Linked DNA regions of Ovis aries. The protein of the gene in region 2 binds, or shares a complex with, the protein of the main gene of each other region. Links are inferred from orthologs where the notes say so. Each region holds a gene or a part of one and is shown on either strand. Other genes may lie near its edges. The genes, in order: DDX46, HTATSF1, SF3A2, SF3B2, SF3A3, SF3B3 and SF3B4.

Evidence for each region.
Region 1: HTATSF1 (region 2) and DDX46 share a complex: the UniProt entries of both Homo sapiens proteins name them as parts of the 17S U2 SnRNP complex. The link is inferred for Ovis aries from reciprocal best matches to the Homo sapiens genes HTATSF1 and DDX46.
Region 3: HTATSF1 (region 2) and SF3A2 share a complex: the UniProt entries of both Homo sapiens proteins name them as parts of the 17S U2 SnRNP complex. The link is inferred for Ovis aries from reciprocal best matches to the Homo sapiens genes HTATSF1 and SF3A2.
Region 4: HTATSF1 (region 2) and SF3B2 share a complex: the UniProt entries of both Homo sapiens proteins name them as parts of the 17S U2 SnRNP complex. The link is inferred for Ovis aries from reciprocal best matches to the Homo sapiens genes HTATSF1 and SF3B2.
Region 5: HTATSF1 (region 2) and SF3A3 share a complex: the UniProt entries of both Homo sapiens proteins name them as parts of the 17S U2 SnRNP complex. The link is inferred for Ovis aries from reciprocal best matches to the Homo sapiens genes HTATSF1 and SF3A3.
Region 6: HTATSF1 (region 2) and SF3B3 share a complex: the UniProt entries of both Homo sapiens proteins name them as parts of the 17S U2 SnRNP complex. The link is inferred for Ovis aries from reciprocal best matches to the Homo sapiens genes HTATSF1 and SF3B3.
Region 7: HTATSF1 (region 2) and SF3B4 share a complex: the UniProt entries of both Homo sapiens proteins name them as parts of the 17S U2 SnRNP complex. The link is inferred for Ovis aries from reciprocal best matches to the Homo sapiens genes HTATSF1 and SF3B4.

What each region holds. Positions count from the first base shown.
Region 1 is NC_056058.1:43,891,725-43,895,224, reverse strand, and holds part of DDX46 (probable ATP-dependent RNA helicase DDX46), read right to left. Parts: intron 2,387-3,500; coding exon 2,243-2,386; intron 1-2,242. UniProt on the Homo sapiens protein: Component of the 17S U2 SnRNP complex of the spliceosome, a large ribonucleoprotein complex that removes introns from transcribed pre-mRNAs.
Region 2 is NC_056080.1:98,729,608-98,733,624, forward strand, and holds the start of HTATSF1 (HIV Tat-specific factor 1), read right to left. Parts: upstream 2,801-4,017; 5' UTR 2,597-2,800; intron 2,396-2,596; 5' UTR 2,341-2,395; coding exon 2,155-2,340; intron 540-2,154; coding exon 359-539; intron 1-358. UniProt on the Homo sapiens protein: Component of the 17S U2 SnRNP complex of the spliceosome, a large ribonucleoprotein complex that removes introns from transcribed pre-mRNAs.
Region 3 is NC_056058.1:19,189,566-19,192,670, forward strand, and holds the end of SF3A2 (splicing factor 3A subunit 2), read left to right. Parts: coding exon 1-1; intron 2-829; coding exon 830-879; intron 880-959; coding exon 960-1,100; intron 1,101-1,510; coding exon 1,511-1,579; intron 1,580-1,666; coding exon 1,667-2,485; 3' UTR 2,486-2,605; downstream 2,606-3,105. UniProt on the Homo sapiens protein: Component of the 17S U2 SnRNP complex of the spliceosome, a large ribonucleoprotein complex that removes introns from transcribed pre-mRNAs.
Region 4 is NC_056074.1:40,571,895-40,575,955, reverse strand, and holds the start of SF3B2 (splicing factor 3B subunit 2), read right to left. Parts: upstream 2,801-4,061; 5' UTR 2,776-2,800; coding exon 2,643-2,775; intron 2,475-2,642; coding exon 2,425-2,474; intron 2,136-2,424; coding exon 2,058-2,135; intron 960-2,057; coding exon 711-959; intron 498-710; coding exon 447-497; intron 1-446. UniProt on the Homo sapiens protein: Component of the 17S U2 SnRNP complex of the spliceosome, a large ribonucleoprotein complex that removes introns from transcribed pre-mRNAs.
Region 5 is NC_056054.1:12,733,427-12,737,641, forward strand, and holds the start of SF3A3 (splicing factor 3A subunit 3), read right to left. Parts: upstream 2,801-4,215; 5' UTR 2,714-2,800; coding exon 2,618-2,713; intron 2,341-2,617; coding exon 2,293-2,340; intron 997-2,292; coding exon 944-996; intron 838-943; coding exon 732-837; intron 1-731. UniProt on the Homo sapiens protein: Component of the 17S U2 SnRNP complex of the spliceosome, a large ribonucleoprotein complex that removes introns from transcribed pre-mRNAs.
Region 6 is NC_056067.1:1,088,206-1,091,705, forward strand, and holds part of SF3B3 (splicing factor 3B subunit 3), read right to left. Parts: intron 3,220-3,500; coding exon 3,064-3,219; intron 2,527-3,063; coding exon 2,383-2,526; intron 247-2,382; coding exon 124-246; intron 1-123. UniProt on the Homo sapiens protein: Component of the 17S U2 SnRNP complex of the spliceosome, a large ribonucleoprotein complex that removes introns from transcribed pre-mRNAs.
Region 7 is NC_056054.1:100,033,289-100,037,524, reverse strand, and holds the start of SF3B4 (splicing factor 3B subunit 4), read left to right. Parts: upstream 1-1,436; 5' UTR 1,437-1,473; coding exon 1,474-1,507; intron 1,508-1,953; coding exon 1,954-2,082; intron 2,083-2,313; coding exon 2,314-2,856; intron 2,857-3,175; coding exon 3,176-3,382; intron 3,383-4,236. UniProt on the Homo sapiens protein: Component of the 17S U2 SnRNP complex of the spliceosome, a large ribonucleoprotein complex that removes introns from transcribed pre-mRNAs.

The DNA.
Region 1 (3,500 bases), on a different chromosome or scaffold from region 2:
CCAAGTCTTTGTTCCTCAAAAGTATCATTACAGAGAAAGAGATAAATCAGAGTAAAAATATCTGCCACTCATATAACAAATGACAATTATATGGAACATTTAAAAACAAAAACTTCTATAAATCAATTTTTTAAAAAGAAAAACCAATAGGAAAATGAGAAAAAGGTTTAAACATGTATTTTTTAAAACATGTACTTTAGAAGAAGAAATCTGAATGACCAAAAAACATACGGAAAGGTGTTTAACTTCACCAGTAATCAAAGAAATGCAAATTAATACCATAATGATATTTTTATTACATGTCTATCAAATAAAAATTTAAAGGAATGACAATACCTAATACTGGGTATGAAGGGACACAATTCTCATATACTGCTGGAAGTGTAATTAGTATATACTCCTTGGAAAGCATTTGGGATTACTTAGTTAAAGTGAAGCTATGTTTATTCTATGACAATGTAACTTCATTCCTAGCTATACACCTAAGGGAAACGCATACATGTGTATATGCTACTATGCTTAATCGCTCAGTGGTGTCCAACTCCGGAACTCGGGTCTCCTGCAATGCAGGTGGATTATTCACTGAGCCGCCACGGAAGCCCATACCCATGGATACTAGGATATATATATACAAAGATGGTCATAACAGCCTCAGAGGTAACACAACTCAAACATCCAGCTCAGCAGAATGGATAAATAAAGCGGAATATTTATATTACGGGGCTTCCAAGATGGCTCAGTGGGAAAGAATCCACCTGCCCATGCAGGAGACCCAAGAGATCTGGCTTCCATCCCCAGTTCAGGAAGATCCCCTGGAGGAGGAAACAGCAACCTGTTTCAGTATTCTTTCCCGGAAACTTCCATGGACAGAGGAGCCTGGCAGGCTACAATCCATGGGGTCCCAAAGAGTCAGACACAACTGAGCACACATATTTACACCACAGGATAGTGGTTCAGCAATAAAATAAACTAATGTTATGAGCGGAGAAGGCAACGGCAACCCACTCCAGTACTCTTGCCTGGAAAATCCCATGGACGGAGGAGCGTGATAGGCTGCAGTCCATGGGGTCACTAAGAGTCGGACACGACTAAGCGACTTCACTTTCACTTTTCACTTTCATGCGTTGGAGAAGGAAATGGCAACCCACTCCAGGCTTCTTGCGTGGAGAACCCCAGGGACAGGGGAGCCTGGTGGGCTGCCGTCTATGGGGTCACACAGAGTCGGACACGACTGAAGAGACTTAGCAGTAGCAGCAGCAGCAGCAGCAATGTTATGAGCAACAGAGCAAACTCCCAAGGTTTACCAAAAACACAGAAGACATGACTCATTCACATAAAATTAAAAAACAATAAACCTGAATTATTCTTTTTCCATTTATAAAGAAACAATTAGGACATTACTAACACCAAAGTCAGCAATGATTTTATCTAGACAAATAGAAAGCTGGGTTAGCAAAGGGACATGCAGGGCTTCCAGTGGGATACAGATAATGTTCTATTTCTTAACTTTGGTGGTGGTTACATGAATCTTGCTTTATACTTTTTCAATAAACTGCATGTTTGTATTTCATTCATTTCTCTGAATTTATATTTTAAATTTAAAATTATCCCAATGGGCATTATAACACTGACCTGATAAAACAAAAGTACAATTTATAAAGTAAATAAATGAGGAAAAATCTTCATAACCAATACAAAAAAAACAAAAACAAAGCTATATATGCCAGGACACCACTTTAGAAACACTAATAGGCAAAGAACAAAGCATTAACAAGAGAAATATAGAGTAAACATATTATGTCTAATAGATATAATTAATATCTCAAAATTGAATGGTACTAACATCTTAAGGAAACATGCAGATTTAACTTACACAAGCAAAGTTCACCCATTATGAATAGCAGTTCAGCAATGTAAAAATGTTATTTGTCAATCAACAGTAGAAACACTAAGAAAATAACTTCAAAGAAAAAAAACATAGTTCCCACAAAGATGTATATAAAATGTACTTCTGATCATTAACAGTAGGTATTAAATGAAGGAATAATGCATTATGAGTGTTAAAACTAACAGAATTTAGGTATCTTCTAAAAGCACTACAAGCTTTATAACTTACTGAAATGAAATTAAGCTAACAGCTCACGGTAGCAGCCAAATTCAGTATTTACAAGGATTTTTTTTTTTTAATGTAGGGAAGAGAGTTCCCAACCCGCATGATAGATACAGCCAATGGTAACATTACCTATTCTCAGCTTTCTTGCTTTTATTGCCAGGACTGGAAGACCGGGATCTTCGGCCTCGGCTTCTACTCCTTGAACGTCTCCTGTCCCGACTTCGAGATCTTCTTCGTTCTCGACTTCTATCTCTCTCTCTACTTCTGGAACGCCTGCAATGGGGACACATTTCATTTATTCTATGACCAAGTAGAACTTCTATTTCAGATCATGGTTTGTGCCTCATGTTGAAAGAAGCTTCTGAATTATTACCACTGTTAAAGACAAGATTTCAATTTACTATCAAATCAGTTTAACAGGGAACAAGTTAAGCCAGTTCTTACAAGCGGTCAATGGGGAAAATAAGGATACTAATTTCGAAACGATGTTTGTTGAGAAACAGAGGAAATATGTACTAATAGCTATTCGAAATCTATGACCTAGAGCAAAAAAATCTAAACTTCAAAGACAGCTAAAACCTCAGTGTAAGGATGGGCAGAACGGGGCTGTAGAAAGATTACAGATACAAAAATTAGGAGATAAGAATTTCTATCCTGGTGCTGCTACTAGCTAGCGACATACACAGGGCAGATCAACTCTCTGGGTCTGTTTCCTTAATCTATATAATGCAGAGACATCACCAAATAATCTCAAAATCCTTCTTGCTCTAAAATCTTGTAATTTTATTTTCACATCAAAAAAAGACCAAAAAAAAAAAAGTAAGAGACCAAATCTTATATGATGCTTAATAAGTACTTGACTGTACTGTATGAAACTGTTCCTGAGGCCACATAGTATAAAACTGAGTAAGTTAATACTATCCACATTGTTATGGGTGAATATTTTCTCTAAGAACCAGTATCTCAAAAAGATAAACTCAAAGTTCTTTCTGAGATCAGTTCACAGCACCTGTATAACCGTGTCTTCTTTCCTATTTTAAAGAGAAACTTTATTAGAAAACTTTCTTTGGCATGTGAGAGTATTTTTATTTAAAGACTGTTTTTCACCAACAGGGAAGTTACAGATGCTTGGGTGGTACCAAGGAATATTTAATCAAGCACAAGTTTTTAAAACCTAACATGTTCTTTGGTTAAATCTAAAAAAATTCTTTAAAATCATTTCAAACAAGAAGCAGACATGGCTCCATTCTGTTCTTCCTTCTCCAGTCAGCACTAGTGGTGGCTCTGAACACATGGATCGGCTTTCTTGGGATAGGATTAGATTAGAACCCCCTCAATGGCATGCTACCTCAACTTTTACTTCTTTTTTTTAAACCTTTCCTGGGGG
Region 2 (4,017 bases):
TACTGTCAGATCTGGCCAAGCTGAAGCAAAATTGACTTGTTTAACTTAACTGGAAGTACCAAAAAAAAAACCAAAAAAAACCCAAACCAACCATATAAACAGAACTTTAAATAATCTTCTAATAAGAATTCTGTTTTGGAAAGGAAGAAACTGAGAACTGAACTGAATTGAAACAATCTGCTTGATGCCTATAGGTTAGTGGGAGAGCCAACACATGAACCCCAATAAAAATAATAATAATTAAAAATACCCATCTTATGATTCTGTCAAAGTTATAATTCTCCAAAAAGTAAATACATATACACATACTCATATTTTTAACTTTTATACTCATGTTTTGCAAGCTAAATCTACTTGCCTGATTCAGCCTTTCTCTTTTCTCCCTTCTTTTTCAGATCACTGGGTTCAGGGGGTTGTCTTTGCGGAGGTTCTTCTGCAGGCCTGGCACTGACATCTTGGATACTTGCAGTAGAACTCGATGCGCCATCGTTAGAAAAGCCATAATTGGCCTGATATGTAGCAATGAAATCTTCAGTGATCTAAATAAGAAGTTTAGTGCACACACACACACACATTAAAAAATGATTTCCTACTGTGAAAAGTTTACACTGTATTAAATAACAGTATATTCAGTTATACAATGTCACATTTGAGTGTTTCTGTGGATAACAGTAATTAAAGCATATATGAAGAACAGTCACCTACATAGAAAACTGTGCAAGAGAATAAAAAAATTAAGACATGGGTACTTGGATTATCAACACAAAAGTCTGAGATACTATTAAAGGCATTTTAAGTGATGTTGGCACCTTTCCTAGTTGTTTCATTTGTAAATTACTATCTCTGTAGTCTACTTGACGAAGACTACAAGTATATATAGCAAAGGAAGTACCAGATAACAATAAACAGAATAAAAACCAACAGTCAACTAATAATCTAACAACAGAATCAAATTTTCTTTTACTATACAGATGAACATAAGGATATGTACTCAAATCACATTATCATTTAATGTCAAAACAAATCAAGAACAAATCCAACTCACATCCATCCTCCTGGCTCTTAGAGAAAAGAACAATTGTACAATGAAACAAATGTAGTTATATCTTCCTACCAGTCAATGTGAGGCACACATAGGAATGAGGAAAATTTTGAACTTGGAAGTTTGAAGTGGTATGGGTTCCATAACATAAAAAGATAGAGCCAAAAATTACTATACTATCAGACGACTGTTGAAGTACTCAGAAGGCTGAAGAAACCAAATCTGCACTCTAGCTGGCACCACCAGTACCCAAGTGAAATGTTAAGTTTAACAATTTAGAGGGATTGGAACATACACACAAATAAAAATTGGGAAAGAAAACAGTTTAAATAAATAATTTAAAAAATAACACTCAAATTACACAATGCAGACACGGTTTGCATCACTGGCTTGCAAATCTATTAGTGTGCGATAAGTATCCTTTTTTTTCCACCTGTACCACAAGACTTTGATTAACAGGGTACTCTGACCAAAAAGTTTACAGAACCAAGTTTAACATCCGTCATTTTACTTCCAAGCTGAAACTGAATGCTTAAAAATTTACAGGTACTCTAAATAAATAGGCACAGATCCTTTCCATCCAAATTCTGTGCTCCTCCTGTCATATTCCTGTAGTGATATGGTTCAAATATACGTGTCTAGGACCAACTTTAGTAGGAAAGAAAAAAAAAGATGCAACCTTTAATCAGTAAAAATTTACCAATTTATCAATTTTTTTCAACTCAAGAAGTTGCATTTTGCACCTAGCACATCAGTTAACCATCTGAATTCCTAGGATAAGATTGAGACTGCCTTGAGATTAACATCCATTGAATTTGCTCTTGATGTTTTTCTCTTTGCAATAAAAAGCAGTCACTGACATAAACCAACTGCAACCTTCATAGATAAAATTAATAAGGCATAAAAAGGACTTAAGAATTAAATTACATTGAAGACATCTTCCTAAAGATTTCCGTTCCTTTACACGTCGGTTCTGCCACAGACACAACAAAAAGAAACGTCACAACCAGAGGGGCTCTAACCCAGGACCTCAGCAAAGAAAACGTGAAAGGAGCGCCCCGCGAGGCTGGCCAGGTGGGCCCGCTGTGCAGCGGCGCCCGGGCGACTCTTACCTTGGGGAACCAAGCCTTCTTGTCTAGGTCCCACTCGTACGGGGTGTCAGTCGGCTGCTGCCCGAAAGAATCGGTTTCTCCACCGGGATCTTTCTCGGTGTCGTCGTCCTTGGTGTCTCCGTACAATTCTTGCATTCGCAACTGCTCATCAAACTCGTCATTCGCATCCAAGTTGTTGCCGCTCATGTTGCCCACTTAGCCTAGAGGCAAGGTCCGGTCGAGCGAAGAGGCCGAGCTGATGCTGGAGGGGAACAGAGAAAAGGAGGTTGGCCACACTCAGCTCGCTCCCCACCGCCCCCCGGCCCGCCTCCCCGCGGCGCCCCAGCAGCCCCCGGGAAGTCAGGGCCACTCGGCGGCCGCACCGCCCCCCGCTCCGCCCGCTGCCCGCCCGCCGCGCGCGCGCGCGCGTCGCAGGTCCCGGCCCCGCCGCGCCACCGCCCACCTGATTCGCCCCGCCGGGCCTCGCCGCCGCTGCCCGATCCGGGTCGAGGCGGGAGCGCGCACGCGCGCCGCCGCCGCCGCCGCCGACCGGGTCTGAGGCAACTGCGGCTCCCGCGTCAACGTCTGGAAACCACTTGGAAACCGAGGCCCGCTCAGGATGACGAAGTCGCCATTGTTGGCGCGTCGCGTCGTCGCGGGGCGCACCGGCACGCCCCCAGTGGCGTCAGTAGGAGCCGACACGGGCCAGAGGCGTGGGGCCCCGGGGGCGGGGCTCCGGGAGCTGCGCTGCTGCCGAGCGGAGATGCTCAGCAGGGCTGTCCTGGCGCGGGGGCCGCGGGGAGCGCAGGGCCTACGGCCTCTTGGGAACGTTGGGCTCCGCGGGGTCCGCAGCGGGGCGGTAGCCCAAAGGCGTGGGAAGATTCCCACTCGGCCGGCGCCGGAGCAGGCGTCGAGGCGGCCGCCATCTTGGGGGAGTGGACGGGACAGGCGGGACAGGACGCGCTGCGACAGAAAGATGCGCCTCCTTCTCCCAGAGGCCCCTCCTCCGCGTGGGAAACGAGTCTTTCACTTGTTTCGTGAAGACTTCCCTAGGAGAGCCGGGTTAGCCCGAGCTGGTAGTACAGGGTCTGATGTATAGTGCGTGTGTGGTGAGTGAATGAATGAACGAACGAATGGTGAGTGGAAGGACCAACCTTCTCTCCAAGTCTCTGCTCCGTCCTTTTCTTTCTGGTACCTTCCTCAGGCTGGAGATGACTCTGGAAAGGAAAGGCAACAGTTGCCTGTCCCTTGTTCTCCAAATTTCAGACTTGCTCAAGCTACAAATCTGAAACTGTAACATCCAGTGTACACACCACCTTTACTGCCCCACTAACGTCGTTTTTTGATGTTTTAGGAAAAAAGTGCATGTGATAGAACTTACATGCATATTTATAGTGTAGATAACGAGTTTTATTGGGCTCATATACGTTTTGCTAAATATTTCTTTTAGGATCCAAAAATAGTATTCAGCTGTTTTCAGCAATATGTTATTGAGCTTCCATTTCATTCCTGAATAGGTTCACAGCATAGGTGAACTAAGCAGTTCATAGGTATACTAAGCAGTCCTGCTGCACGTGACTCTGAGCGCCTGCTGTATCCACAGGCCCTTCCGAGCAGGTGGCCAAAAGTTGATGTTTAGCTCCTGTGTGACCCAGTTGGAGGCCTGTGAGGTGACTTGGTAGGGTAGCCCCGCATTCTAGACTGAGTTTGACTCACTGAGCCAGTAAGCCTCTCCCAGAAAGAGGGACGAGTAGGAAATGTGGGCATGGGCAGAGTAGTCTTCTGTGGCCAAGTTCCGTATGGGTGAGAGGAGAAGCTGAGGCAGTGATAGAGGGTCATTGAGTCACCACTATAGTGGAGTTGGGAGCGAAACATGCTTGTAGC
Region 3 (3,105 bases), on a different chromosome or scaffold from region 2:
GGTAATTGTCGATGCCCTGGGTGGGCAGTCCCTCACCCACCTCCAGCTTCACCAGTGGCCTCAGCTTCCATTAGAGGCTTCCTGCCCTGAGGGCGGGGGCCTTAGTGTCTCCTCTGCTCTTTATACTCCTAGCAGAGGTGGGTGCGAGGGTGGGAGGGGACTGCAGGCCCTGGTGTAGTCCTTTCCTCTGACCTTAGAACTGGGTGCTGGTGCCTTTTCACATGGAGAGAGAGTAAAGGAAAGAGGAGGCTTACCTGGGCCAGCAGCTGCAGAGGATCGGGTTGCCAGGGAGGAGGGGAAGGCAGGCCTCCTTGCAGGTGTTCTTGCTGAAGTGGGCACACCCTGTGTATGACTGGCGTTTCAGACAAGACATGGCTTGGGAAGGCCCTGGAGTGGTCCAGCTTGGTGAGCCAGGGCGAGGATGGCACTACCCCCAGGGAGGCCACCACAGGCCTTTTGGTCAGTCTGGGTCATCTGGCCTCTTCCTGGCTGTGTCAGGGAGACACTAAGTGCCTGAGGGCGCATATGAAGGGCCCCGGAGCTGTGTGGAGAGCAGCCCAAAGCCACAGAGCTAGACTGTGATGGGCACCCGCTCCCAGAAGGTCTGGTGGAGGAGGGTGGGCAGTGGGGAGCCCACCCTCTGCCCCCACCCAAGTGATATCAGGCAGGTGGCACCTGGGGCACAGCCCTCCCACCCTTGGGCCAATGACTGCTAGTTGCCCAGCAGGGTGACCTCCCCCCACTTGCCAAGCCAGCTCTCCCATTCGTGGGTGACATTAGGCCAGTCCTAGGACCCCGTTACTGGACCTGACATCCTCCTGTGTTGCAGTAACCAAGCAGAGAGATACAGAGATGGGCCAGCAGAGCCTCCTTTTCCAGGTGAGCAAAGGCCGGGAACCCTTTGTCCTGAGGGGAGGGGCCCCTGAGAGGCAGTGCTGTCACTGGCCGTGTCCCTGCAGATCGACTACCCTGAGATTGCCGAGGGCATCATGCCCCGACACCGCTTCATGTCTGCCTACGAGCAGAGGATCGAGCCCCCGGACCGGCGCTGGCAGTACCTACTCATGGCCGCTGAGCCCTATGAGACCATCGCCTTCAAGGTAGTTTGCTGGGACCCCGGAGGGTCCTGCAGGGTCTGCTCCATCCAAGCAGCTGGCCCCAGCCCACACCAGGCGCCCCCTCTGGGCCCTTGCCTCCTGAGGGTTGTCAGAAGACGATGCAGAGTGAGGGCAGGGGCTGGGTGTCCACCGTGAATCAGACCCTGGCATGGCCCTAGCAGTGAGGTGGCCCTGTTACCAGGCTGTGCAGGACTCTGACCTGGTCCAATTCTCAGATACATGTTAACGAGACAGGGTAGGTTGCAGCTTCCCTGGGTGGCAGGGCTGCTAAGCAGTGGAGCAAGAATGCCAGCTGTCACCCCCACGTCAGACCCTGTTCCCTCATAGAAGGGCCTCCTGGGCCAGGCCATTTCATGGTCCTGAGGGCCTGTCTGCCCCTCTACCCCGCACAGGTGCCAAGCAGGGAAATAGACAAGGCTGAAGGCAAGTTCTGGACTCACTGGAACCGGGAAACCAAGCAAGTGAGTCAGTCCATGTCCATGCAGTTCCCCATCCTTCTCCCACCCCAAGGCCTCTGGGACCCTACTCAGTTTTTCCTGTCTGTCCAGTTTTTCCTCCAGTTCCACTTCAAGATGGAGAAGCCACCAGCCCCACCGAGCCTTCCTGCTGGGCCTCCTGGGGTGAAACGGCCCCCACCCCCACTGATGAACGGCCTGCCCCCTCGCCCGCCACTACCAGAGTCGCTGCCTCCGCCCCCACCAGGAGGCCTGCCCCTGCCACCGATGCCGCCCAGTGGGCCTGCACCCTCAGGGCCCCCAGGCCCTCCTCAGCTGCCCCCACCGGCTCCTGGGGTCCACCCACCAGCACCGGTGGTCCACCCACCAGCCTCTGGGGTGCATCCCCCTGCTCCTGGGGTCCATCCCCCAGCTCCTGGGGTCCACCCCCCGGCACCAGTGGTTCACCCACCAGCATCTGGGGTCCACCCCCCTGCTCCAGGGGTCCACCCTCCAGCCCCAGGAGTCCACCCTCCTGCTCCGGGAGTCCACCCTCCAGCCCCAGGGGTCCATCCTCCCCCATCTGCTGGTGTTCACCCCCAGGCACCAGTGGTGCACCCACCAGCTCCTGCAGTTCACCCCCAGGCTCCGGGGGTGCACCCGACTCCTGCCGTTCACCCCCAGGCTCCAGGGGTCCACCCACCAGCTCCTGGGGTCCACCCACCAGCCCCTGGGATCCACCCCCAGCCTCCTGGGGTCCACCCCCCTCCTCCTGGGGTCCATCCTCCGGCTCCTGGGGTCCATCCTCAGCCACCTGGGGTGCACCCCTCAAATCCTGGGGTGCACCCCCCAACGCCCATGCCCCCGATGCTGAGGCCTCCACTGCCCTCCGAAGGCCCTGGGAACATTCCTCCCCCTCCCCCCACCAACTGAAAAGCCACCCCCATCCTAGCAAGTCTGGTTTGGTTTTCCTGGGTTTCGCCCTCAGAGTAGAGTTCTTTTGTACTGGGCTGGGTGTCCTCAGAGCTCATTAAAGAGTCTGCTGACCCTGAACTGGACTGCTGTGTTAACCTGTGGGCGGTCAGCTTGCTGTGGGTGAACACACGTGACTGCTTTCCACCACCATAGGGGGTGTCAGGGTCCCACCTGGACCACAGGGGGTGGCCCCTGCTGTCTCTGCAAGGACAGACCCTGTGGGCCAGCAGAATGTGGGGTGGTTCTCTGGGAAGACAGCAGAGCGAAGAAGGCTGCTCACTCTCCTTGGGGGTCTCTGTGGGCCTCAGAGGTAGGGTGAGCGAGCACGTGGGGTCACTGGGGGACAGACCTGCCTACCCGATGTGAAGCGTCATCCCCCTTGGGGCTGGCACCTGAATCCTCCTGGGGCAGGGGCTCCACACCTTGCCCTCCAACACCCCCAGGTTGTTGATAGTCTGACTGTCTGGGGCATGCACTCCTGCTCACATTCCTGCTCTGGGGAGGGGAAAGATTTGTCAAGGACAGTCTGACAAATGGGTCACAGGCCACACACACTGTATCACTGCTCAGGAGATAGA
Region 4 (4,061 bases), on a different chromosome or scaffold from region 2:
CAGGGGATCTTCCCAACCCAGGGATTAAACCCACATCTCCTGTCTCCTGCAGGCAGACTCTTTACCCACTGAGCCATTGGGAAAGCCCAGTAGGGGTCAGGAAATTTCTTCTGTAATGGGCCAGTCAGTAAATATTTTAGGCTTTCTGGGTTGTTTGTAGACTGTTGTAAATTCCTTTCCCCCATCTCCCCGAAACAACCCTTCAAATATATAAAAACCATCCTTACATCACAGGCCATACAAAAACAGGCTATAGTCCACAGATTACCAATTCCTTGGCTATGTGAAAGAAAGAATTATTTGGGAGATAATGGAATTTAGATGAGGATGAGGTAATCTCCATGGGAAACCTGAATGGCACGGCTAATTTTAGACAGTAAGCACTAGAAGTGACAGACGATGGATTAGACCATGGAGGTCAAAGGTTAGGAAGAGGGAGGCATTACCCGCTTCTGCTGCTCCAAAAGCTCATGTTCCTTCAGTGAATGATCTCCCTGCTTAAGAAAGAAAACGAGCTCATTCCAGTACCCACACCCCACCGGCCAGTCTACCACAGCTCTGCTTCCTGGTCTGCTCTTCCAGCCGAGGCCCTGAAGACTTGGGTCCAGACCTTCCCAGAAGCCTTGGCCCCAGGATCCGGCTCCCCTGGAGGCCCTACTCCCTTTTCAGGACCCTGGTGAGACCCAGGCTCAGGCTGCCACCTGCCCTACCTGCTTGGCACGCTCCTCCTGCTGCATCAGCAATGCCGCCTGCTGCTGCGCCAGCTTCAGCCGCTCTTCCTCAGACAGCGCCACGGGCTCACCCACCCGGAGAGGAGGAGGAGGCCCCAAGTTTGGCGGGCGGGGTCCAACTGCCATAGGAAAGCCAAGGCCAAGGCCAGGTGGGGGTGGTGGGGGTGGTGGAGGGGGTTGTAGAGGAGGGAGACCCATGGGTGGGGGCGGCATGGGAATCCCCGAGAGCTGTGGGGGGAAAAAAAGGCCATTAACTATGAAGCATTTATGTAATGGCAGGCATTTGCTGGGGAACTAATATAAGGCTGGCACTGGGATTCAAAGTCAAATGATGCACAATTCTTGCATTCAAGAAAATGCAGGGCTTCCCTGAAGGTCCAATGTTTAAGAATCCGCTCAACGCAAGGCACATGGGTTCGAGCCCTGCTCTAGGAAGATTCCACGTGCTGCGGGGCAACTAAGCCCATGTGCCGCGTGTGCTGCAGCTGCTGAAACCCGTATACCCTGGAGCCCGTGCTCCGCAACCAGAGGCCACTGCGATGGGATGGCCGCACAACACAACTAGACAGTAGTCCTGTGCTCGCTTCAACTGGAAAGGGCCTGCACACAGCAATGAAGACCCAGAGCAGCCAAAGACATAAAGGAAAAAAGAAAGAATACTCTACGGCAGTATCGAAAGAAGAGCATTTTAACTTTGTGCCACCAACTGATGAAAGCTGTCAACTCTGTCCCAGAAGAACATCATGAACACAGACTTCACATACAATTTCAGGAGACTCACGGACACCTCTAAAGGCCTTCTGAAAAACTCCTCAACCCCTCAAAAAATAAAAACCTTCTTATGCCACACATAGAAGTCCCTGGACCCCAAGTCAGGGCCACTGCTCTACAGAAAAACTATCAAATCCTGGATCAGAAAAGACATGGAAATTGAGAGTATTTAAATAAATAAGACCCAGTGTGCCCCAATGACTGATTAAATATAGAAGGTATGAAATTAAATCAGAGAGTAAGCCCTAATTTCTCATTGAATAACATGGGAACTCTGCACAGGGAGGGCAGAGAAGAGAGTGATTACTTCCAGCTGGGGAAGGATTATGTCAGGTTTCCAGATATTTAAGCTGAATCTTAAATGACACATGAAATTTGGAGGAACTGACACTGAGAAAGGAAGTAAGAATCTGGACGAAGGAAGAACTGAAGAGTTCCCAGTTCTTTCATCAGTGTACCTCCCTGCCCAGTGGGCTACGTGTATCCCCCTGTACGCTCAGAGGAGGAGCTACTCTGAGTAGAAAAGAATCTTATCAAGTGAGACAGTCTTCTTACCTGTGCTGACATAGGAGGAGGAGCAGCTTTGTCCCCATCTTCACCTCTCAGAACGGGACGATTCAGGACGATGCCAGTCTGTGAAAGTGAAAAGAATCTAGGGCAGTCTAAAAGGAGCTGGTGCATGAAACAGCGTTCGCTCTCGTCTATTCAACAAAATTTACCCAGTGACTGTCTGCCAGAGCTCGGAATGGGCTCTGGGAAGAAACGATATATACAAAAGCAATTATAACACAGCAGATACGAAGCAGCCAAGACCCCACTTGCTGTACCGAGATTCGTAAACAACGAAGACCGAGTTGTAACGGGTCATTAATGCCTCCTGCAAACGCTCGGCCTATCCTCATGTCCCGCCACCAACACTTACTTGGCGAGTGTAAGCCTGCAATCGCTCCACAAGCTCCTCGCGACTCCCTGCTAAGCAAAGCACAGGATCAACGGGGTAGGTCAGGTCGAGCAGGCCAGCCTGCCCAAGTCAGGCCACCGCGGCCAGCCTCTAACCCCCGCCCCCGGGTCTCCGGGGTAACCAGCTCCGCTTCCCCGCAGGCCTGCACTTTCCTGCCCTTGACTTCCCATGCTCCTCACCCTGGATGGGAGCTCCGATCTCTGCTAATTTGGCCTGAAGCTCCTGGGCAGCCCAGGCACCATAGTGTCCAGGAGGCGGCGGCGGCGGCAGCTGCAACTCTCCCTTAGGAGGCTCCGGATGCTCGGCCGCCATCTTAGCCGCAGGAAGGCGCGCGACCAACCCGGAAGCTCGGACCAGCCTCCGGACCCACTTCCCGGAACTTCCGGTAGGGCGATACGCCACGTCCGCTCGAGGGTTGCCAGGCAGTTCCCATCAGGGCCCACCCCCTACCGTTCTCCAATGCTCCTTAGGCCGCCTGGTCGCGAAGCCTTCTGGGAGTTGTAGTGCACAGGTCACGATCTCTGCGGATTCAAATCCGGGAGGATCGCGGCCGGCCGCGACGCGGGGAACTCTGGAGGCCAGAGCCGGGGCGGGGCTGTGGGGAAAGCAGGTCCTGCCCGAAGGGCGTGCTTTCTGCATCTCACTGGCCTCAGCGCAGACCTCCCGCCTTGCGGCGCTACTCCCTGGTTGGACTTGAGAGGCCTGGACGCTCACGTTCTCCAGGGACTCGTTCCCCCGGCGGTCGCGCGCTGTGGGCGCCAAGCGGGAGTTTGCCGCCGATGCCTGTGATAAAACAGTGTCTGATTGTCTGCCCGCCCATCCCCGGCCCAGGCATGGATGAATGGGCTGAAAGGAGATCGGAGACGGGAACGAAGCCGGCCCTCCGGGCTGAGATCCAGCTGCCGACCTGGGGGAAGGGCCACACTAAAGCCCCTTTTTCCACCTTCCTGGCCGTCTCAAATGTCATCTACGTTAAACTGTCTCCCGCCTTTCCTGCTCTGGAGCGGCCAAACCTCTACCATTTGTTTTGAAATCTTTCTTGCCCTTTTCTGCACTTACAACTCCCAAGACATGAGTTTTTACGGTCTCACAGTACCTGGCGTTAGAAGTGCTCAATGAATTATTACTGAAAGGGGGAAAAAAAAAAAAAAAAAGCAGTCTTAAGCGACAAGATTTGGATCCTTTTTTAGTCTTGAAAATAAACGCAGGGGAATTCCCTGGTGGTCCAGTGGGTCGAACTCAGTGCTTTCCCTGGGGAAACCCGGGTTCCATCCGCGGTCAGGTAACTAAGATCCCACAAGCCGCACCGCAAGGCCGAAAAAGAAAGAAAATAAACTCAGGACCTTTTCTTCCCTCATCCCCACCAGCTTACTGGCGCAGCAGACCCTGTCTGGTGCTCTCCTACCCCACCAGCGGCCTGTGCCCCTGAGGGAGGGATGGGCAGGTGGCCCTTGCTTGCCCCCTTCTGCTTCTCCCTGTCCTGATCAGTCAGTTCAGTTCATCTTCCCACCTCTGCCTCCAGCTCTGAGATCCCGTTCCCATTCTAGTGCTGCTGTCTCACAGACAGCCAGGTCGCAGCCAGTGTGCATGTATGTGTG
Region 5 (4,215 bases), on a different chromosome or scaffold from region 2:
GGTGGTCCAGTGGTTAAGACTCCATGCTTCCAATGCAGGGGACACGGTTCTGATCCTTGTTTGGGGAACTAAGAACTCATGAACTATGAGGTGTGGCCACCAAAAAAAAAAAAGAAAGGAGAGAGCGAGCAGGATGGAGGGATGGAGCAGAGAGAGCCTAGACCATGATGTAGATATGAGAAAATCTCACTGAAAGTCTCACAGTGGGCAGAAATAACCAGGCTGTGATACCCCTCCCCCACACTGTGTTCAGTCGCTGGTTAGGGGCTGCCCAGGAATATGTGTGCTCTGTCGCTTCAGTCGTGCCCAACTCTCTTTACGACCCTATGGACTGCAGCCCGCCGAGCTCCTCTGTCCATGGGATTTCCCAAGCAAGAATACTGGAGTGGGTTGACATGTCCTCCTCCAGGGGATCTTCCAGACCCAAGGACTGGACCTGCAACTGCTGCAGTGCAGGCAGTCTTTACCACTGAACCACCAGGGAATTAGCAGGCAGCTTCTTTACCATGAGAGCCACCTGGGAAGCCCTAGAAGAGAATGGCTTTAGCTTAAAGCTGAGGGAAATTCTGAAAGAACTCGCAGTTGCAGGATGTCACCTAACTACGCTGCTTATTGCTAACTGGTAAGTTCCTTTTTGAAAGGACATCTGAATGACCATCTCCATTTTCCTAACACATGTCCTTTGTATACTCTTTGGACAGGACTGGAGAAAAAACTTTGCAAGGTCATACCTCATTTGGGTGCTTCCGGTGGAATTCCTTTATTTGTTTGAGTCTATTATAGAATTCAGCAAACTCATTGGGTCCTGAAATGGCATTGAGCTCCTCTTTTCGTAAGCTGCAATTTCAGAAAAAAATCCAGAAAACATGGAGCACAAAGTCAGTCCTTTAACCATGGCCCCTCAAAAGCAGTAATTGCTGGACTGAATGTGACTGTGACTTACCCATCCTTGTCGTCATACAAATCCCTCAGATTCCCACTGACTTCCATATACCTCTGAAAGGCAAACACAAATCCATTAGAATGAAGCAATCCGCCCGTACAACTGAGACCCAAGCAACCAACAAGGGCTCTCTAGTCAAATCTCAGGAAAACTTCAAGACATGTGGTGTTAAAAGTTCTTATGCTTTCTGGTACCCTTAACAGACAACACTGGCTCCTAGCTAATTTTTAAAACAGGTCACTCTGAAGATTACCTAAGAAATGTGTTTTGAGGGGTGGCAGAGTTCCCATATTTAACTTTCCCTAGAAGAGTCATGGGCTTCCCTGATGGGTCAGTGGTAAAGAATCTGCCTGCCAATGCACAAGACGTGGGTTGGATCCCTGGGTCGGGAGAAGGAAAAGGTAATCCACTCTAGCATTCTTGACTGGGAAATCCCATGGACAGAGGAGCCTGATAAGCTACAGTCCATTGGGTTGCAAGAGTCGGACATGACTTAACAACTAAACAACAGTAGAAGTATTGTATTGTAAAAGAGAGCCATGTGAGAGTCACCCTTTGGAAAACAGCAGTTCCCATCAAAGACTCTCAAAGATAAAAGGGTAGTCCAAGTTGACTTCCACTATTTCAAAAGGCTTGACTAAGGAATGCTCAGGCTAAGTAAAACACCACACAGCTTCCTCTGGATTCAAATTCAGGATGGCACAAGTACATAGCCCATTCTCCAAAACTTTTGGAACCAGATTTGCTTCTGAATTTGGAATTCAGGAAGGTACTACATGAAATATCCCTAGTGGGATCTGGAAAACACATTAATTAGTTCTGCAGTGAAAGTTATGTTATTTATTGAATGGGATAAAGACCATAAAAAACCTCTCATCTGATCAGATCAAGTCAGATTTTTGCCACCAAATAATTTCCAAAACAAATTAAAACATCTTTTGTTTTCAGAATACTTTGGATTTGGGAATCTAAATAAGGGATTAGGGGCTAGTAATATTTATCTATCCTAATTCAGAAACTCTGATTAGGGTCTTTATTTTTTTTTCTATGGGGGAGAAGGAGAGTACCTTCTAAGCCTGAGGCATTGACACCTCATAACTACTCTTTGCACATCCATGGGACACAGGATGCTGTAAAGGGGATCTTCTCTAGTAATTAAAAATGAGTAAGAGTACTCCATTCGGAGAAGGGAGTAAGGGTGGTTAAACATCCTCAGGGTTGCTTTCGGCGCGTACATTCGGCAGGCATACAAACTCCTCGACTGGCCAATCGGCTACCTTTTTCCCGCACCCCCTCCCTCCTCTTCCAGTCTACCGTGCCCAAAGAGAAGCGGACAGCGGGACACTCACATCTTGCATGGCCCGCGTGCGGTGGTCAGAATTGATCTGGTCCCGGAGCTGAAAAAAGGCAAACGGTGACATATACGCCGTTAGTCGGAATTCTGGAGTTGGGAAGGCCGCCCGAGGGCGGAGCTTACCTGCTCGGGTCTTAGCAGCCCAAGCAGAGAGGCCTCTGGGCGCTGGGCCCCGGGGAAAGGTTACCTAGGCCTGAGCTCGGGGAGGGAATCCCCCGAAGGGCTCGGGGCGGGGCGGGTCTGAGGGCTGAAAAAAACTCTGAGGTTAAACCCGGGCCGGGGGCCCGGCCTTACGGTAGCCCCTGCCTAGGTCCACTCACCGTGGACTTCTTAGTGAGCATCTCTTTGGCCATGACATCCATAAGCCGTTCCTTCTCCTCATGATAGCGCCGCTGCTGCTCCAGAATCGTTTCCATCTTCCCTCCTCCTTCTCCTCCCCCGCCGCCGCAGTCGCTGCCGCCCCAGCTCAAGCCAGTCCACCAACACGACCGGAAACAACCCCTGCCGCCTTGCGCGCCCGCGTCCGCAAGTTACGAGTCCGGAGGCACCAAAGTTCCGCGGTTGCCGGAAGTTCCTCGGGGACTCGAGGAAAAGTGAGCACCGCTAAAGACCCAGTCCGTGCTATGGAGACTGCTGCAGTGCCCCCTGCTGGCCGGAGGTGTGTGGCGCGATACCGAACGATTTGCAGGTGCCTCTAGGGGGCACACAGAAATCCATCAGCCTGGCGTTAAGGAATCTGACCTGGCCGGCGGGGACTTCCCTAGCTGTGCGGCCGTGCTGGTAGGGACCTGGACTGAGTAGCTGACGCGCACGTATGGGAGCTGATGAACCGGAACTTGAGTCTCCAGCTCAGTGTGACCTGTGACAACGTTTTTCCCTCAGTAAAATGGGAATGATCGCGGGTTTTTTTCCTTTCATTTATTCTTTTCTTTCTCCTTCCCTTCCTCTCTTTTGTTATGTGGAAACAACCTAATTGTCTATCAGCAGTGCTGCGTGCGTGCTAAGTCGCTTCAATCATGTTCGATTCCTTGCGACCCTATGGACCATAACCCGCCAGGGTCCTCTGTCCAAGAGGTTCTTCAGGCAAGAATACTGGAGTGGGTCTCCATCCCCTCCTCCAGGGGATCTTCCCCATCCAGGGAACAAACCCACATCTCTTATGTCTCCTGCATTAGCAGACAGGTTCTTTACCACTAGTGCCACCTGGGAAACCCAAGGGACTGGTTAAATAAAATATAGTGCATTCAAGCAGTAAAATATTATATAACTGGAAAAAAAAAAACCGAAACAAGTCTATATGCCCACATCTAGCTGGAGAAATGAAAACCTATGTCCATATGTGCAGACATGCATAGCAGCACTATTCATTATCAACAAAGCTGCTACCCCCAGTCATTAACTGGTAAATATACAAACCAAATATGGTGTATCCATACAATGGAACATTATTCAGCAATAAAGGAGTGTTACAATATGGATGAACCATGAAAGCATCATGTTATGTGAAAGAAAGCAGACACGCAGAAAAAAACAACAACACACACACACACACACACATTAGTGGACGTCCAGATGGCAAATCTACAGAGACAGAAAGTAGGTGAGTGGTTGCCTGCTGCTAGAGGTGAGATGGGAAGGAAATGCAAAAGCAATCTTTTGGAGGTGATAGAAAAATTCTTGGAAAAGGAAATGGCAACCCACTCCAGTACTCTTGCCTGGAGAGTCCCAGGGACAGAGGAGCCTGGGAGGCTGCTGTCTATGGCGTTGCACAGGGTCGGACACGACTGAAGTGACTTAGCAGCAGCAGCAGTAGCAGTAGCAAAATTCTAAAATTGAATTGTGGTGATAGTTGCAAAAATCTATTAAATTTGCTAAACTCAACTGAATTGTACACTCGAATGAATTTTATGATATGTAA
Region 6 (3,500 bases), on a different chromosome or scaffold from region 2:
TAAAGCTAATGTCCAACTAACTAACTACAACACTGGTGAATTACTGACAGCAAGATTTACACCACAGGGCTCAGCTGATGCCACTAATATCCACACACACATTCTGCCCCTTTCATTACTTACTGCCTCCTGGCCTTGCATCCGGACACGAAACAGTTTCACAGGACGGGACCCCAGGTACCTAGTGCGGGTGTCAGACAGGTCCCCAGTGACAGGGTCCAGGACAGTTCTCAGCAACACACCATTCTAATAAAAATGAGAGAGGTGGTTAAGGCCTACCCATAATGGAAGCTTCTTTAGCTACCCTATTTCAGTTGGAAGAAAATGACTGGGCGGTTTAAATATATAGTCATCAGCCAGCCATTCATTCATTTTCCTAAACCACTCACTCAAATAGTTACTGAGCATTTACTAAGTGAAAAGCAGTTTCCTTTTACCGTATATCCTTAAAATTTTTTACCCTTTATGTTAGACCCTTTACAATTTTAAGATACATGTACAGTTTAACATACCCATGCCTATTGTGGTCTCTAAATACCACTTCCCTTAAAAAAATAAAAGATTCCTGAGAGAAATGCCTTATTCCAGTCTGAAGCAAAAATGTTCTAGATGTGTGTGGAGTACTTTCTTGTGCTAGGAGGAAGCCCCCAAAGATAGTAGGCACCTGTTAAATGGACAAAGGAGGCAACTTCAGAAGGAAAATTCCCACTTTTCTATATTGTGGCAACTTAGCTTCTAAAAGAAAGACTGTGATAGTCTGATGTAAATATAAAAACCTGCAAATGTTATCTAAAATTAAAATAAAAAGCATTTCAGCAGTCTTCACTGGAGACTGCGATGGCACCAACCTCTTACTCTAAAAATAGTGAACAAAGGGGGAAAAGTGAAGTGTTTATCCAAGAACTCAGGTTTGAAGGCTGTGATGCAGCCCCCACAGCAGAGGCAGTAAACTGGATGCACCATCCAGAATCAGGAACACACGCTCCGCCCTGGGGATGAGGAAGAATCGCGCTGTGATTTTCTGGGAGGCCAGCACAGGCGCAGGATGGGAAGTAGGAAGGTCCCCAAGAACAATGATCTGGTTTCTTTTTAACAAGTTGAGACAGTTATTAAAAGAAATGTGAGGGCTTCCTGGTGGTCCAGTGGCTGAGACTGTGCTCCTGACGCAGGGGGCCCGGTTTCAATCCCTGATCAGGGAACAAGATCCCACATGCTTCAACTAAGGCCTGACACAGTCAAATAAATAATGAAATAAAATAATGTGAGAAGATTAAGCAGATAAAAACTGGACAGTTTTATGCATTCTGAGTAGAACCAAAAGTAAAAACTTTTTCCAGAACAGGATAAAAAAGGGAGAAAATGAGAATATGGGGGTATCAGATGATACTAAGGAACTTACATTCTGTTAACCATAATATTAGAGCTTCAAAACACACACACACGCACTCCTCTGTTATAGCTACGTTCTCAAGCCCTTATAGATGACACTAAATTGGATCTGCCTTAAAGAGAAGAGAAGGGAAAGGCAAAATGCTGGTAACTGGTGATGGGTGCATGGAGGTGCATTTCGTTAGTCTAACTCCTGGGCATGTTTGAGAATTTCTAAATTAGGAAGTAAAATTAAAAACCAAACAGTCTCCTGGGCTAGGCGAAAAAAAAAAAAAAGGATATGGTCAAAACCCCTGATACTCTCTGATTCTTGGGTTCCTGCCTTTCATGCCATGAAGAGCCTAGGTGCTTTGACAACAGGGTACACCGAGGAGCCCTTTACTGCTAACGGAGCCCATCATGAACTGTGAGGCCCTCTGTATCCTTGGATTTCGAATCCACAATTCAACCAACCACAGATCAAAAATATTTCAGGGGGAACAAAAGCAGAAAATGCCAAAAAACTAAACTTGAATTGGCTGCACATGTACAGCAACTATTTATACAGCATTTACCTTGTATTAGGCAATTAAGTAATCTAGAGATGATTTAATTAAAGGTTACGAAAAAATACAAACATTATGCCATCTTATATAAGGGACTTGAGTATCTTCTGATTTTGGTATCCAAGAGAGATCCTGGAACCAACCCCAAGGACACTGAGGGACAACTGGATTACAGTCTCACAACTGCAAACTGTGGAAACCAGAGGCAATATAGCTCTGTCCCAAAACAGTCACTGCTAAGCAGTTTTATCAGACTCTAGAAAATACTTTTTTCCAGCCCTGATTTCTTCTAAATTAGAGCTAAAACAAGTGGAACAGAGAGCAAAACTGATCCCTTCTCACAAGGCGGGTAACTAACACACAGGCACAGAAAACACCTGCGTTACACAAAGCAGCCATGGAGAAAAGACGCCCTGACCCCAGGAGTGAGGGTTTCTGGACCTCTTACCTGGAGTCCAATATTCAGGTACAAGAAGCCAATAGAGCCTCTCTCCCCCAGCTCATCCTGCTTCTCGGTCCCACCCATTTCCACAATACACAAGGACTCGGGCTGGGCCGGGAGAGCCTGCATGCTCAAAGGCTGTAAACAGTCCTAAAGTGGAAAGAGAAAACAGAATACGGCAAGTGACCAACTCTGGAAAAAAACCTACCCAGAAAAATCTAATTCTTAGAAGTGAAGAACAGCTCTTTTTCATGGACATGGAAAACCTGAAGAATGAGTTCTCAACAGGTACGGGGTCACTAGAGAACTAAACCTTAAAACAAGCTCTGGAGAGGATTGGGCTTTCTCTTTTTTGTAGAAGTGGAGAATGGTAAAACTAAATAAGCAAAGGGTACCTCTTTAGAGTCATCTAAGGCTCTTTTCTGTAAACACAGTCTTGGATTTTGTTTTCGTTCGTTTAAACTAAAAAAGGGAATCAGGACTTAAGCCAAAGACACATTTAGTAGTCTTGGATCAGTCCTTTTAAAGCACTGCAGGCGATTCATGAGGTGTGCTGCTACAATAATCAGAAGCAGCAGAAGTCTAGATTCAGGGCCCAGCCCAGCTGATCTCAGAGAGGGACATCAAGAATGGGCCGGGTGCTCAGGTTCCAACTGGAAGATCCTTGAAATGGAGGGTGACACTCACCGAGGGGTCCAAGGAGATGATCCTGACAGTGTTGTCCACCAGCCCCACAGCCAGAAAGCGAGACCGCTGCTCCCCAGGGGGCACATTGGCCAGGCTCATGCACACCACATCCGCCGACATCTCCTTCCGCTCCGTGTACTCGTTCAGCTGTCCCGACTACAGGATTGAAGACAGGGAGAGGTCACAGACCACGCCACCCCGTCCCCAACTCCCGAGCCTGGAGAAGAAAGGGGGCTTGCTAAATAAGTTCTTTTTTGCTTCCTCTCACTCTATCATCGACGAGCAAAAATTTCTCAACTTGAGTTTCCAAGACTGAACTCTACAGGCTAATGGCAAGCAAAATTACTGACAAGATAATAAAGAGACCTTTGACAAGCATAATGCACCAAATTTCCTAAGCCAACCTAACTTTTAGGAAATGAAAATATATCACTGTT
Region 7 (4,236 bases), on a different chromosome or scaffold from region 2:
TAAGGAAATGGACACCACGAATATCTCCCGAGGATCACTCCAAGAAAAGAAACCCAAATACCATTCTCTCCCAATCCCGTTGAAATTGCTGGCTTTCTCATGGGCAGGGCAGAGGGTGGTCTGGGGTGAGGGAGAGTTTTGTCTAATCCTTCGGTTTTTCTTATCTGGTCTTGCTGCCTCAGCTTTCATAAACAAGATCACTGACCTGAGTTTCTATTGAGGATGAGTGGTGCTAACCTTATCCAACTCTTATCCTGCCTTGTTTGGTTTAAACAGTTCTTATCATTTGAAGAATTAAGAAACAACAACAATCCAGAAGACTGCCTCTCTTTTTCAGGGCAATTCCATGTCTTTGGGATGGAAATTTTGGATATTGCGCTGGTAAATTGTGATAATCAGATATACTGTTTATCAGTGCCAACAAGATGGCCTACAGACCTCCTTCTCACCTCCTCTTGCTGCTTAATTCCAATTTCTATTTCTTCCCTTATAGTTTTCTATGGGTATGGAATATACACAGGACACCCTATCTCTTCCAATTATATATTTTCATTGTGACATTTCTATTTAAGGAGTTCATTAAAGCACAATATTTATACACGCCGCTGGCATTGTTTGTGTCTGATTAAAGGAACCTTAGGTAAGGGAGTGGTGGGAGAGGAGGGAAAGGAATGTGACCCACGAAGGGACGGTACCGACCATATTACTGCTAAGGAAGTAAGGGGCTGGGCTGCGTGAGGCGCTGCAGGATTCACAATTTAAGGTCCTCTCTTCCGTGTAGACAGGGCAAAGGCACGCCCAGAGGTTGCTGGAGTTCAGGGTGTGCTCTGAAGGCCTCGGCCTCGGCCTCGGCCTCGGCCTCTGGGCTTCAGTATCAAACCCCCGTAAACTTCGGTACCACCCCACCTCCGAACCTCAGGTTCCCCTCCTATGCAGTGACTAGGCGAGCTCAGACATTCCACAATTCCTTCCCTGAGGAAAAAGGAAATACCTCAAGCTCAGGCCTGGGCTGTGAGGCCGCGTCTGTTCAAGGACTGCGGGTTGGGATGGACGGTTCTCCCCACGCCTTGCGTTGAGCGGTTCCTCTGTACACCCTTCTAAGGGGGAAAAAAAGGCTACAAAACACATGAAAACTAAAGTTTTGTTCTCCCAGCTTCTGAAGTGACAGTTTCGGGAGCAGTGTGACCCTTTAACTTCTAGCACTGCCTTAAAAGAGACAGAACGTTTCCTTTTCACTTTCCCCGCCGCGTCCGCTCATAGTAGCACTTCTGCACGGGAGCGTGGACCGAAGCGCACCGCTACTTCAGCCGCTTCCAGTCTCAGCGTCTCCTAAGATGGCCGAGGCCGCTTCCGGCTCCTCCCCTGCCGCGGCCCCGCCCACCACCTCACGTCAGCCTTCGCCTCGGAAGCGGAAGTAGTGACTGAGGTCAGGGGGCGGGATCGCTGCCTGGAGACGGCGGGAGCGCTTTCGCCATGGCTGCCGGGCCGATCTCCGAGCGAAACCAGGGTGACTGGAGGGGACAGACCCAGAATGGACTCTGGGGGTTTGAGGGACCTCGACTAGGCCCAGCAATGTTTCCGCTGGGGCGGGAGATTTTGCCTTTCCGAAGGGCGCCAGACTGGTCCCGATGCCTTATGGGGACGGGATGGACAGACTTGAGGCCTATAGTTGTGATGCTGTGTCCAGTCCTCTGCTGCCTTCCCACTCAAAAAAAAAAAAAAGAAAAAGAAAAGTTACAGAGTGAACTTGCACCGTCACTCTAAATTAGACATAAGATTGTCTATTTTCTGGAAAGGAGGAGCTTCTAAAAGCTTAATCTAACATCTTTTTGTTTTTTCGCTTTTCTACCCCATCTCCACGTCCACTTCCTCCGCCTGGGTTCCATCTTCATGTTCCCGTTACCTCCCTATTTCCCCTCATCTCTGTCCTTACCTCTTAATCCTGTCTTCCAGATGCCACTGTGTACGTGGGGGGCCTCGATGAGAAGGTTAGCGAACCACTGCTGTGGGAACTATTTCTCCAGGCAGGACCAGTAGTGAACACGCACATGCCAAAGGATAGAGTCACTGGTCAGCACCAAGGTGAGTACACGGCAAAAAGTACAGTTATCTATGAAAGGGACAGACTGCTCCTGGAGGTCTCCAGTGATATTAAGTTTTGGAGTGAGCAAACTAAAGATTTTGTTTCTGGAACCATTCTCAATTGAAGTTGGGATTATTATTTCTTATCCTTTGTGCTTTAGAAGACAAATGAGTTATAAACTCGTTTTTAAATCACTTCAGTTGCTAACCTCTTCTTTTCCACTTCCCCAGGCTATGGCTTTGTGGAATTCTTGAGTGAGGAAGATGCTGACTATGCCATTAAGATCATGAACATGATCAAACTCTATGGGAAGCCAATACGGGTGAACAAGGCATCAGCTCACAACAAAAACCTGGATGTGGGGGCCAACATTTTTATTGGGAACCTGGACCCGGAGATTGATGAGAAGTTGCTTTATGATACTTTTAGCGCCTTTGGGGTCATCTTACAAACCCCCAAGATTATGCGGGACCCTGACACAGGCAACTCCAAAGGTTATGCCTTTATTAATTTTGCTTCATTTGATGCTTCGGATGCAGCGATTGAGGCCATGAATGGGCAGTACCTCTGTAACCGCCCAATCACTGTGTCCTACGCATTCAAGAAGGACTCCAAGGGTGAGCGCCATGGCTCAGCCGCTGAAAGACTTCTGGCAGCACAGAACCCACTCTCCCAGGCTGACCGCCCTCATCAGCTATTTGCAGATGCACCCCCTCCACCATCTGCTCCCAATCCTGTGGTATCATCATTGGGATCTGGGCTTCCTCCACCAGGTAAAGCTTTTGATAAAAAATGTTTGTGTTGGGTTGGGAAGGGTGGGGCCAGGAAGAAGGAAAAATAACCTGGCAAGGAGAGGACATTGAGTCATTAGGTGATGAGAAAGGGGTTGAGGGATGATGATTGTGGTGGGAAGAAAGTTGTTGAGTTTTCTCCAGAAGGTTGTTGTTCAAGTCACTTAATGTTGCCGCTGACTTCAGAGAGCTGGGAGGAGGGGAAAAGAGCTCATTCGGCCTGGAGAGGCCAGGGTGGAACAGGCTCTCTAAAGGCACTCTCTGCTCACTATCATTAACTGTTTTTCCATTTTCTCTATAGGCATGCCTCCTCCTGGCTCCTTCCCACCTCCAGTACCACCTCCTGGAGCCCTTCCTCCTGGGATACCCCCAGCCATGCCACCACCACCTATGCCTCCTGGGGCTGGAGGACATGGTCCCCCATCAGCGGGAACCCCAGGGGCTGGACATCCTGGACACGGACACTCACATCCTCACCCATTCCCACCTGGTGGGATGCCCCATCCAGGTGAGCGTTCTTTGCTGGGAAGGAGAGGGATGAGCTTGATGGAGGAGCTCTGTCAGCACTTAATGCTGCTGTTCTTTGTCCTTTAACAATAATAGATAGTGCCCAAGCTCTCCTTTCTTTCAGACATTCTTTTAGGAAAAAAATGCAAGATACTTTACCGTTTATTTTAACAACCATCATGCTGTCTTCATTTCTTGTTTAAGTTTTACCAAAGAGAACAACAGGCTCTCTGCATTGGTTCTTTACCACTAGCGCCACCTGGGAAGCCCAGGCTCTCCTATCCTCATTATTTCACACCTAATTTATTTTAGTAATACCCTAACTGACACTTTGACTCTAATTATCTCTACTTTGATTGACTATCTCAGAGTAATTTTTCTTAAATACAGATATTCACACACCTTTGCTCAAAATTCTTCTGGTTGTTCCTTTTTACTTACAGAGTGAAACCCAAACTCGCTATCATAGCATTCTAGGCTTTGCATAATCTGGCTCCTGCCTGTTACTCCCATGACTACAAGCTGTTCTACTGGGTTTCCTTTAACATACTGTGCTGTTGATCACATCCATGCTTTGCACCTGCTGATTTTTTTCTGCCTGGAATGTTCTTTTCCCACTCTGTTGTCCACCTGAAAAATTCCTGTTCATCCTTTAGAATTAGATCTTTGCTGTGACAGTGTCTCTGTTATCTTCCCAGATTCTATTCAGTAGAATAATCACGCCATTCTGCAGCACTGTTACAATGCCTAAATCATGGAAGGAGCAAATGGGCTTCAGGGACTGGGGAGCTGTAGGGTAGTTGGTTGATTTATTCTCTTGGGATGGAGTCAAAGATAAGGGCACTTTTTACCAGC